Linked DNA regions of Lepisosteus oculatus. The protein of the gene in region 1 interacts with the protein of each later gene in a pairwise test. Links are inferred from orthologs where the notes say so. Each region holds a gene or a part of one and is shown in the gene's direction. Other genes may lie near its edges.

Region 1 (3,753 bases):
ACTCAGTGTCCTGTACAATAGGAGCTACAGTCCCAGTGCAGTAGAACAGTCTGTTACAATAAGAGCTTCAGTCCCAGTACAGTAGAACAGTCCTGTTACAATAGGAGCTACAGTCCCAGTACAGTAGAGCAGTCCTGTTACAGTAGGAGCTACAGTCCCAGTGCAGTAGAACAGTCCTGTTACAATAGGAGCTACAGTCCCAGTGCAGTAGAACAGTCTGTTACAATAAGAGCTTCAGTCCCAGTGCAATAGAACAGTCTTGTTACAACAGGAGCTACAGTCCCAGTGCAGAAGAACAATCTTGTTACAATAGGAGCTACAGTCCCAGTGAAGTAGAACAGTCTTGTTACAACAGGAGCTACAGTCCCAGTGCAGTACAACAGTCCTGTTACAATAGGAGCTACAGTCCCAGTACAGTAGAGCAGTCCTGTTACAGTAGGAGCTACAGTCCCAGTGCAGTAGAACAGTCCTGTTACAATAGGAGCTACAGTCCCAGTACAGTAGAACAGTCTGTTACAATAGGAGCTACAGTCCCAGTGCAGTAGAACAGTCCTGTTACAATAGGAGCTACAGTCCCAGTGCAGTAGAACAGTCTTGTTCCAACAGGAGCTACAGTCCCAGTGCAGTACAACAGTCCTGTTACAATAGGAGCTACAGTCCCAGTACAGTAGAACAGTCTGTTACAATAGGAGCTACAGTCCCAGTGCAGTAGAACAGTCCTGTTACAATAGGAGCTACAGTCCCAGTGCAGTAGAACAGTCCTGTTACAATAGGAGCTATAGTCCCAGTACAGTAGAACAGTCTGTTACAATAGGAGCTACAGTCCCAGTGCAGTAGAACAGTCCTGTTACAATAGGAGCTGCAGTCCCAGTGCAGTAGACGTCACTAATCTCACGCTGCGTAACCTGGAGAAATCACATGGGCACAACGCGTTCTTTTAGGCCTCCACGCGAGAGCGACTGTGACGTCATCAACCGGCGACGGGAGGTGACGCAGTTTGTGCGGTCGGTGTGCTGGAAGCTGTGAAGCTCGAACTGTTTTCGCTTAGATCTCCGGACCTGGTTTGTTTATCTGACCACCCGAGAAGCAGAAAGAAGGGGAAGAGGTAAGAGATCGCTTCCTTTCGCTGGGGCGGAGAGTGTTTCAGTCCCCGGAGCGCTGCTGTAGAGGACTCTGCGGTTTCAGCCGAGTCTCTTAAGATTGATGAGATGAGGGGTTTGTTGGGGCTCTGCTCTCTCTCAGATGTCTTTGGCGGACGAGCTGCTGGCGGACCTGGAGGAGGCTGGAGACGAGGGCGACGAGCCGGGTCTGTACCCGGGGGCAGAGGGGGCCGACGGAGCGGACAGCGATGGGGAGGGTGGGGCGGAAGGCCCGGGGGGGCTGGCTGACATCCCGGAGGAGATGGAGGTGGATTACAGCGGCACAGAGAGCGTCACCTCCATCGCCAAGCTGAGACACAGCAAGTCGGTGAGTCCCGCCTGTATCCGCCTGACTGCAGACTGCTCGGTGTGAGAGACAGTTAGTTCAGGGCTCGGTTTGTGTGTGAGAGAAAGACAGTTCAGGGCTCAGTGTCTCTCAGGCTGTGATTGACGAGGTGTGACTTGTGCTGTGAAATACCTCTGTTCTTTGTCTTTCTAGTTTGCAGAGATAATGGAGAAGATCAGTCAGTACATTGGTAACCAGCGCAAGACCTCAGAAGGTAAGAGCGAGTGGGTGGCGCCGGCGTGATGCTGTGCTGGCAAGTCTGTTCTGACCCGACTCTCCCTCCCTCTCTCACACAGTCTCTGGGCCGGTGGAGGCCGACCCGGAATACAGGCTGATCGTGGACGCCAACAACCTGACCGTGGAGATCGACAACGAGCTCAGTGAGTGTCCGGCCTGCAGCCTTCCTCCCACGACTCTCAGCACAAAGGGGTGCCCACTGTTCGCAGTCCTGTGCGCTCTGTGGGTCCTTTCTTCCACACTGACCATCTCCCCCTCTGTCCTGCTGTTCCTCTTTCTCCCAGATATCATCCACAAGTTCGTGCGAGACAAGTACTCCAAGAGGTTTCCAGAACTGGAGTCTCTTGTGCCAAACTCTCTGGACTACATCCGCACTGTCAGGGTAGGAACCTCAGTCCTGACTGACTGTGACTGGAGTCCCTGGTGCTGTTGATCTGGGCCTGGCTAACGTCTCAGATTCCTGAGCTTAAACTGCGTGACCAGCTCACTATCTGTTCCTCAGGCTGGGACAGGAGTTCACACGCTGTATTATTATTATTATTATTATTATTATTATTATTATTATTATTATTATTGAGAGACAGGCTCACTGTCTGTTCCTCAGGCTGGGACAGGAGGTCACACACTGTATTATTATTATTGAGAGACAGGCTCACTGTCTGTTCCTCAGGCTGGGACAGGAGGTCACACACTGTATTATTATTATTGAGAGACAGGCTCACTGTCTGTTCCTCAGGCTGGGACAGGAGGTCACACACTGTATTATTATTGAGAGACAGGCTCACTGTCTTTTCCTCAGCAAGGGACAGGAGGTCACACACTGTATTATTATTGAGAGACAGGCTCACTGTCTATTCCTCGGGCTGGGACAAGAGGTCACACACTGTATTATTATTATTGAGAGACAGGCTTACTGTCTGTTCCTTGGGCTGGGACAGGAGGTCACACACTGTATTATTATTATTATTATTATTATTATTGAGAGACAGGCTCACTGTCTGTTCCTCAGGCTGGGACAGGAGGTCACACACTGTATTATTATTATTGAGAGACAGGCTCACTGTCTGTTCCTCAGGCTGGGACAGGAGGTCACACACTGTATTATTATTATTGAGAGACAGGCTCACTGTCTTTTCCTCAGCAAGGGACAGGAGGTCACACACTGTATTATTATTGAGAGACAGGCTCACTGTCTATTCCTCGGGCTGGGACAAGAGGTCACACACTGTATTATTATTATTGAGAGACAGGCTTACTGTCTGTTCCTTGGGCTGGGACAGGAGGTCACACACTGTATTATTATTGAGAGACAGGCTCACTGTCTGTTCCTCGGGCTTAGAAAAGGAGGTCACACACTGTATTATTATTATTGAGGGACAGGCTCACTGTCTGTTCCTCGGGCTGGGACAGGAGGTCACACACTGTATTATTATTGAGAGACAGGCTCACTGTCTGTTCCTCGGGCTGAGACAGGAGGTCACACACTGTATTATTATTATTGAGAGACAGGCTCACTGTCTGTTCCTCGGGCTGGGACAGGAGGTCACACACTGTATTATTATTATTGAGAGACAGGCTCACTGTCTGTTCCTCGGGCTTGGAAAGAAGGTCACACACTGTATTATTATTATTGAGAGACAGGCTCATTGTCTGTTCCTCAGGCTGGGACAGGAGCTCACACACTGTATTATTATTGAGACAGGCTCATTGTCTGTTCCTCAGGCTGGGACAGGAGCTCACACACTGTATTATTATTGAGACAGGCTCACTGTCTGTTCCTCAGGCTGGGACAGGAGCTCACACACTGGGCTGCCAGTTCAACTGAGTTCTCTCCTGCCCCTCCCAGTAGGATTGGGAGTTTTTGTGTTTCTGGCAGGTGTGGGAATTCTGGGATTAGATTTGTAAAGTTGGGAAAGAATTTCTGTTCATGGAGGTTGTTTTTACAGACCTATGTGTGTAGGGCTTTTATGAGTGTAATCACCGAGTGTGATCCTGGTCTGTGCGTGTACCTGTCTTGGTCTCAGGAGCTGG
Region 2 (3,753 bases), on another chromosome or scaffold:
TCACTACACAGTACAGTACATGACATTCAAAAGGTGAAACTACCTTATGTCTCGTGCCCAAACAACTCTCGACAATGATTGACTCACATTTATTCTAATAGCAGACTACTTTAATGACATTGCTATTGTTGAGAGTCATCTATAAATTGTCTTTCTCTTTTTAGTAATTTTAAACCATGATTGTATGAAAAGAAACCTGCCTCTTATATAACACTAAAGCGTTTGAAAGCAAGTAGCTGGGTGTTCTGATCAGTTCATATATTCAATTCAGTTCAATTATTTTTGCTACTAGTAAGTATATGAATATGTTCATGTTGGCAGCTGCGTCAGCATGCGTTGTGCAAAGTAACAACAGGTTTATTCCCTGCTGAAAAGAGAAGCGAGAAAACATGTTTTGGCTGTGAACCCTTCTTCAGGTGAATATGACAGTTTATTTTGTTTCCAGTGATTTTTCCCACAATTAAAAAATTAATGTGGATTCTTTCAATATTACAATATAGTACTTAATGTTAATGTTAATGTTGCTTTATTAGCCCTATACATTTCTTGCATTAGGAATTCGTCTTTTCGCATACCCCAGCTTGCTCTCCATGAGACACAGACAGGGAGAGAAGCTGGGGGTCAGAGCGCAGGGTCAGCCATTGTACAGCGCCCCTGGAGCAGTTGGGGTTAAGGGCCTTGCTCAGGGGCCCAACGGAGTAGGATTCCTCTGCCGGCTGTGAAATTTGAACCGGCAACCTTCCAGTCACAAGCACAGATCCTTAGCCACAGTACTTAGTAATATTTTATCCTACCTTGAGTCCTAAAAAAAGACTTTGATTATCAAATTTCTTGTACTGCAATCAATAAAATATCGACAGCATTGTTATATGATAAAAAAACTGTTGTAAATAATAGCTTTTATAGCATGAATTGCCAAACTAAATGTGTATAAAATGCAAATTTAAGGGGTTAACATTTGAAGGTAATTTTTTTTGTTTTGTTTAAAGAGTAATTTATTGATGCTGATAATATTTCTTTGTGGTATTGTAGTATAAAATGCTGCAGAAAATGTAGCCGCCCATGTTTTGAAGTTATATAATAAAAGCGATTTCTCCTCAGGTACCGGAAGACGCGAGAATACAACTGGTTTTAGAGACGACGCATACAGTACATTGACGTAAATCATGGAAACAGAAAAAAAAAGTTTGCTCTGGGATCTAGTGTTAGTACCTAGTAAACTAAAACTGAGCAGAGTGCGTAAACGCAACCAAAACCCATGCATAACCTTCGATTGCCGTATAATGAAGAAATAAATATGAGAAAATGAAAAGCTGACTTCCAATAACCATCAAACAACGAACTGCATGGGTTTGCAAGGCTGGTCTGTTTTGCACCTGCTGATGCCTGTATGTCACGCCCACCGGTTTCTCAGGGACTGTAATTAAAGCCCAGGTGTCAGCCAATACTGTGAGCAGGTACTGGTTGCCTGGCAACAGGTTCGCCAATGACCGTAACGTTTGTTGGTGAGCCAGAGAGTCGGAAGCTTCAAACCTGCGCCTGTTGAGAGAGTGGGGGAGGTTGGTAGTATCAGCTGTTGGTGATCAAGAGATTAAAATATCCTACTTGGATGCTGGGGACTTGTCTGAAGTGGATTTATAGGTTTACTGTGTTCTGGAGAACGCCGGTGTCTTAGGAGAGGAGTTCATCTGGTGTTATGTAGTGAGTGTCTTTTCAGACCCCGTTTCTCTTCTGCAGCCCAATACGCAACTGAGCCTATAAGATAGCTGTGTGTTTATAATAATTTTGTAGTCAAGTGTTAAGGAGCATAATTCAATTGCTTAGGTTTTACTGCCTTCCGTGTTACGTATTTGATTTCGCTTCCTCAATGCATTTTATTTATGATTCCTTGGAATAAAAAATTTCTGAACTAGTTTATTTGTATGACTGGGACGTTAACGTGTTAAAAAAGCTAGGCTTTAGCTAATCCTCTGAATCAACAGAAAATCGACCAGCTCCGTACGGTCAGCATTTTTGTTTTCCAGTCCTGGTCAAGCCGTGGCAGTCCAGCGGCCCTGTGTCTTGACCGCTTTGACTTGTGAATTGTGGTCTAACCGGTTTCATGAACTGAAATTATGATAATTGTCAACTTTTAGAAATGTCTAACTACTATCACATTTAATCTTTTTATACATTTCTCTTTGTTTACGTTATACCCGAGCATGCTTTTTGTTTCTCGGTTTACACTGATTCTCACTTAATTTGAGCACATTTCTCAATCAGTTTTTGTTTTATGCGACTATATTGATGACTCCCATTGGTTTGTATTGCTGTATTTGGGAATATTTTTACTGGTGTCGTGACTAGACACTTTAATCATGTGAATCATGTAGTGCCGCTTTACTAAATGGTAGAAACCTTTTTTTCTTGCTATTGATAATTCTAAAAATATTTACATATTTTGTGTACTTTTTTTTCAGAAGGCTTCACAAGCTACCAGGGGCTTGGCAAGTCTGTTATTAACTCCCTGTTGTGATGGTACCATTTTTAATATTGGCATGTTGCCTGCTGCCGGTGAAACGGTAGAACATGTCCTTTGTTATGTATATGAAGTTTCTATCCACTGTGCTCACTCTGGTTCTGGTTTCTGAATTGTTCTTGACCCTTTCATATCAACTTGTGATAATGCATGAGAAGTACTTTTTTGCCCAACTACAGTTTGGGATGCATGACTTTTATATATTTGTCAGTAAATACTTTGTATAAATAATCGAGCTGTATGTTTTGCTTTTTATTACAGCTATAGGTGGTAGGATGCTAGATGGTGCCATCTTACACTTTATTTTGGAAAATAAAATGAACTAGACATCCACCCACCAGCTCACTTGCCTACCGCTGTATTGTTAGTAGGATAGAATCTATTTTAATTACATGCTAAGCGTAAAATACACTGTTCTAGTTATGGTGCATGTAGGAAAGCTGAAGTGGGGCACAGCAAATTGTTACTGGAAATTCTGGTAAGAGGAGGGACAAAAATCGAAAAGGAACTGTGCCTTTCACATTTCCCTACTTGAAAGGGTTTGAATAGAGTTAATTTTGTTGCCGTGTGCTGGGGGAAATATTGGTCCACTCTAAAAGTGATTTTGTCCTTTCTTTTGCTTTCATAAGAATCTTTGAATCATTGTGAAAGAAACAAATGGAGATCATTTGGTTAGAATTCAGATTTGTGTTCTGATTTTTATTACTAAAAACATTTTTACATCATTTTCAATTAAAATTGATAAATGTGGTAATGTATTCTTTGCAGTAAAAAGGCTATAAAGTAATGATGCAGGGTTAAGATTTTTATGATGACTTCTTTACTTTTCATAATATTCTCATTACAAACTAAAGTAGATGGGAGAGCCACGAATCTATGGTTGCGTCATGTCCAGTTGTAATGTTATCTACGATGTGTAACATGGTAAAACAACTTGCATTTTACAATGCTTCTCTCAGTTGTTTTGTTTTATTAGAGCAAGTGCCTCAATCTCTGTAGTATTTGGCAAATAAAAATATTACACTACTTGCAGAAGTGTGATCTAACTAGACATGTATTAGCTGCACAATGCTTATGAAGTAATTTTAAATTGCCAATGGCATTTAAAAAAAAATTGCAGAATTATTAAAAATTTGAATTATTTTTACTTCTAGCTTCAAGCTACATTTAACAATTTAAGAATATGTAGAAGAATTTTAATTCTGCCTCTTCTTGTAAATCAGTCATATATCACA
Region 3 (3,753 bases), on another chromosome or scaffold:
GTTATTTGTTATATTAGATCACCTTTATCTATCAGTATTGTTGAAATGAAGATCAAATATCCATACATGCAAATATTTGAAAATCACACATTTTCATGGGGCATACTTACTTTTTCACAGCACTGTAACCTCTGGGTGCTCTGGTTTCCTCCCACAGCCCAACAACATACAGTTATGTTAATTGGTTTCTGGGAAAAATTGGCCCTAGGTGTGAGTGTGTCTATATCTGTGTTTGTGTCTGTGTGTGCCCCACAATGGACAGGCGCCCCATCCAGGGTGTATCTTGCCTTGCATCCCTTGCTTGCCAGGATAGGGTCTAGCTCCCCTGTAAATCTGAATTGGAAGAAGCGTTTAGAAAATGGATGGATAACATTAGAACACAAGCGATTTCATAAAACTTTAAAGTAAGCATATCCTTAAAAAGAGCGCTGGAAGGGACTGTGGGCCCTGTACAGGGACTTAGGAGGAAATCCCTGCTCCTTGAGCTCCTGCAGAGGACTGGACAACCGCAGTTTCAGAGCAGGACAAGGACAACTGCAAGTGGTAGAGTTTGGAGGGCCTCTTTCACTGTGCGAATCCAGCCCCAGCATCCACTTGCTGTGATTGATAAAGGACAAACACCCTTTTTAAGAACTTTTGTATTATATTAGAATTGGATAGAGTAAGAGCGCCCTCTGGCCGCAGAGGGCGTGACACCACCTCAGACTCTCCCTGTCTGACTGGCTGACCGCTACAATATTTTAACAGCTACAATATTTACGATTTGATTTTTGCTTGTACAAAACCTGGCACTGTCACCAGATAAATACTGGTGATCTTAAAATCAAAACAGCCTAAAGAGAGACCGATAAACCACTCGGATTACTATGGAAACCTTCGTTGTTGAGATGTTAGAAAGGAACAGTGCGCCGCAGGAGAGAAGGAGCCGGTTCCTCAGTTACTGGTGCCCTGGCTTGTGTTTTACTGTATGTGCGGTACTCCCACTCCCAGGCGCTGCTCCACCTTCACCACCCCCGTTGGCGCTCTGTGTCCACCTCACTGTGCTTTACCTTTTTGCTTCACAATGCTTAAATGTTAATAAGGCTAGTTTGAAAAAATCTCTTAATATGTTCATTTATTTAAAAGAAAACGGCGAAATAAATACTTAAGTGTCGACAGTGCTGTGACTGAAACGTTTAACCAGGAGCTGTAAAAGGGATTCTCCTCTACATACTGTGTATTGTACAGTACTATGAGCTACAAAGTCGTGCGGCTTAATATTATTTCCGATCGTACCTTCTGTGAGCGTCTGCTCGTTTCCCGTTGTGCGGTCTGTGACAGTGGTGTGGACTCCACGAGAGGGGAAAGTGAAAAGAGTGGAGAAAGTAAAACGGATAAAAAAAAAACAAGAAGAGGGATAAAAAAGGAGACTGCAGTTTTCTTGGCAAATTCAATGAGCTCATTCTGACAGACAGGAGGAGGGCGGAGTTTTTTTTACAGCATCATCGTCCTCATCGCGCTGTGGTACAGCTGCTGCTGATGATGTGCAGGGGGAAAGGAGAAAAATCAAAGCCATGGGTAGAGCTTTAAGGATTCTAGGCCTTAATTCATTCTGGAGGTTAATAAAACGGTAAGAATTGTATCGTTTTCTAGTTATTTGTTTACACCCGCATCTGACGGTTTGAATCAGCGTTACATCAGTTCAGAATTAAAACAGGGATGTGATGCTCTGTACAGTGGAAATGGAGAGGTATTTACAGCCGGCGTCGTGTCATAATAGGATAGAGGATTTTTTTCCCACCCGATTCATTTGTGTTGTCATGTATTAGCGAGTAACGGTAATCTTTTGTTTTGTTTTTCCTAATTCCGGGCACTGGTGCTTTGTTTTTCGTTTCATGCACTAAGAAAGAATACAGTATTCGATCGTCATGACACAGACGTGTGTTTGGTTTAAGCGTTCATGTGGCTAGGCTTGGCCTGTGCAGTAGGCTGAGATCAGCCTTTGGGTAACGACAAGTGCATCTTTGGTAGTCATTTCTGATGCTGGTTTTAAAGTGAAATAGTACTACACAGGCCATTTAAAAGTGGGAACAGTATTTATTATTAAATAGTGAGTTCCACATGCTCTTAGGGTAGGCAGCTACCTAATTTAATTTGAATTGTCGAGTACCGGTATTTCATTGTTTATGTTTGAGGCTTTCCTCCCAGTTGTGCAAAGGTACTGTAATAGGGGTTGATGAAGCGAATATATGGAGTCAATTCTTCCATCCTCCTAATTACAGTGGGGCTTCTCTTGTGCCAATTTATGCAACCATATATATTTCACTAAGAATTGTGATAAGGCTCATTTATTTAGGCACATTGTCGGTAACAATTCAGTAGACTGGAGATATAAAGTTTCAGTAAATGTCACCTATTCTACAATGGCTGTGTGCAGTTTGTTTGGATGCTTTACTTTCTTCTCCAGTCCAGATTTATGTCGATTCTGACTTTTGCGATCTATTTGTTAGATACTATTGTTAGGATCATTCTAAAATTTGATATACAGTATGAAAGCAAATGGAAATAGAGGACATTCAAGCAAATGGTATTGTAATATAAGACATGGTAGAAACTATGAAGTGTTTAGTGTTATGGTATTTCTAGTGTAATTTTAGAACAGGCCATTAAAGTCGCCCCATTTTTATTTACTTTGGTGCAGATTCATGATCTTTTTCCCTGACACACTTTGTGTTGAATTCTCCAAAAGCAGTTGCTTCTTTCTTAGCTAAGTAATAACTTTAACTTTGCTATTTGTTAATTTTACATTCAACAGCAGTATACCATGCAAATACACATCATATGGATGCCAGTGTTAGAAATATAAAGATGGAAGTTTGTCTTTAACCAATAATAAAAAAAAATGTGAGTTTCAGGTGTCAGTTCATCTGTGGTCAGCCACACTGGCTCTGTGAGACCATCTTGATATCCTGCTGTCACATTTGCTGTCATTTACTTTATTGTATGTGCTTCAGTTTCTTTTATATTCATGTTAATATTGCCCTATATTCCTTACCTTTGAGAAACCAGTCCAGCTTCACACAGCTGTTTGTTCCTTTTTAGAATCCACGCTGTGTGTTAGATGACCAGGCTTGGGCATGCCTGGTGCTTGAGGGCCAGTGTGTCTGCAAGCTTTATAGGTCTCTTCACAACACCAACACATGAAGAGCTGACAGAAACTGTTCCCATTAAGCCAACAATGAGCTGATATACAGTAGGTTATGATCTGAAATGCAGACTTTAAAACTTACTGGCCTCCCAAGATTAGGTTCACCCATCCCTCAGCAGCTATAGTGGAGAGCCAAGCTGAGAGAGTGAAACTCATTTCTTTTGCTACTCCATTTGGATATGAAGGAGAACCTTAAGTGACATGCTTCACTCTGGCCACAGTGTTAGGAACCCTCATGAGTACACTATTTCAGCTGAAGGTTTTAGGAGCACAAGACAAAATGCCCTCACCTTCCCCGATAAGAACAATCCCTGGCTCTTAATCTACTTGTAACTGAAGTGACAACACAACTGGAAATCACATGGAAGTATACATAAAACTGCAAACAGAACTTTTATACCCAAAGGGTTTTAGGAGTGTGGAAAAATCTACCCAGCCATGCTGTCAAAGCCAGTATTCCTGGCTTGTTTTAAGAAATAACTGGAAGAGATCCGAAGTGCCAAATGAGTTAGATGGGACGAATGGCCACCTCCTCTCAAGCACACATGACAATCTAATGTTTGTTT

The links.
Region 2: the proteins of prpf31 (region 1) and ssx2ipa interact in binary tests that used the Homo sapiens proteins (3 or more experiments, as listed by UniProt). The two-hybrid records come from large-scale screens. The link is inferred for Lepisosteus oculatus from reciprocal best matches to the Homo sapiens genes PRPF31 and SSX2IP.
Region 3: the proteins of prpf31 (region 1) and jakmip2 interact in binary tests that used the Homo sapiens proteins (3 or more experiments, as listed by UniProt). The two-hybrid records come from large-scale screens. The link is inferred for Lepisosteus oculatus from reciprocal best matches to the Homo sapiens genes PRPF31 and JAKMIP2.

The regions. Positions count from the first base shown.
Region 1 is NC_090718.1:264,856-268,608, reverse strand, and holds the start of prpf31 (U4/U6 small nuclear ribonucleoprotein Prp31), read left to right. Parts: upstream 1-963; 5' UTR 964-1,105; intron 1,106-1,242; coding exon 1,243-1,467; intron 1,468-1,638; coding exon 1,639-1,699; intron 1,700-1,781; coding exon 1,782-1,865; intron 1,866-2,006; coding exon 2,007-2,104; intron 2,105-3,746; coding exon 3,747-3,753. UniProt on the Homo sapiens protein: Involved in pre-mRNA splicing as component of the spliceosome. Required for the assembly of the U4/U5/U6 tri-snRNP complex, one of the building blocks of the spliceosome.
Region 2 is NC_090704.1:174,461-178,213, reverse strand, and holds the start of ssx2ipa (synovial sarcoma, X breakpoint 2 interacting protein a), read left to right. Parts: upstream 1-1,503; 5' UTR 1,504-1,701; intron 1,702-3,753. UniProt on the Homo sapiens protein: Belongs to an adhesion system, which plays a role in the organization of homotypic, interneuronal and heterotypic cell-cell adherens junctions (AJs).
Region 3 is NC_090706.1:26,813,070-26,816,822, reverse strand, and holds the start of jakmip2 (janus kinase and microtubule-interacting protein 2), read left to right. Parts: upstream 1-1,475; 5' UTR 1,476-1,609; intron 1,610-3,753.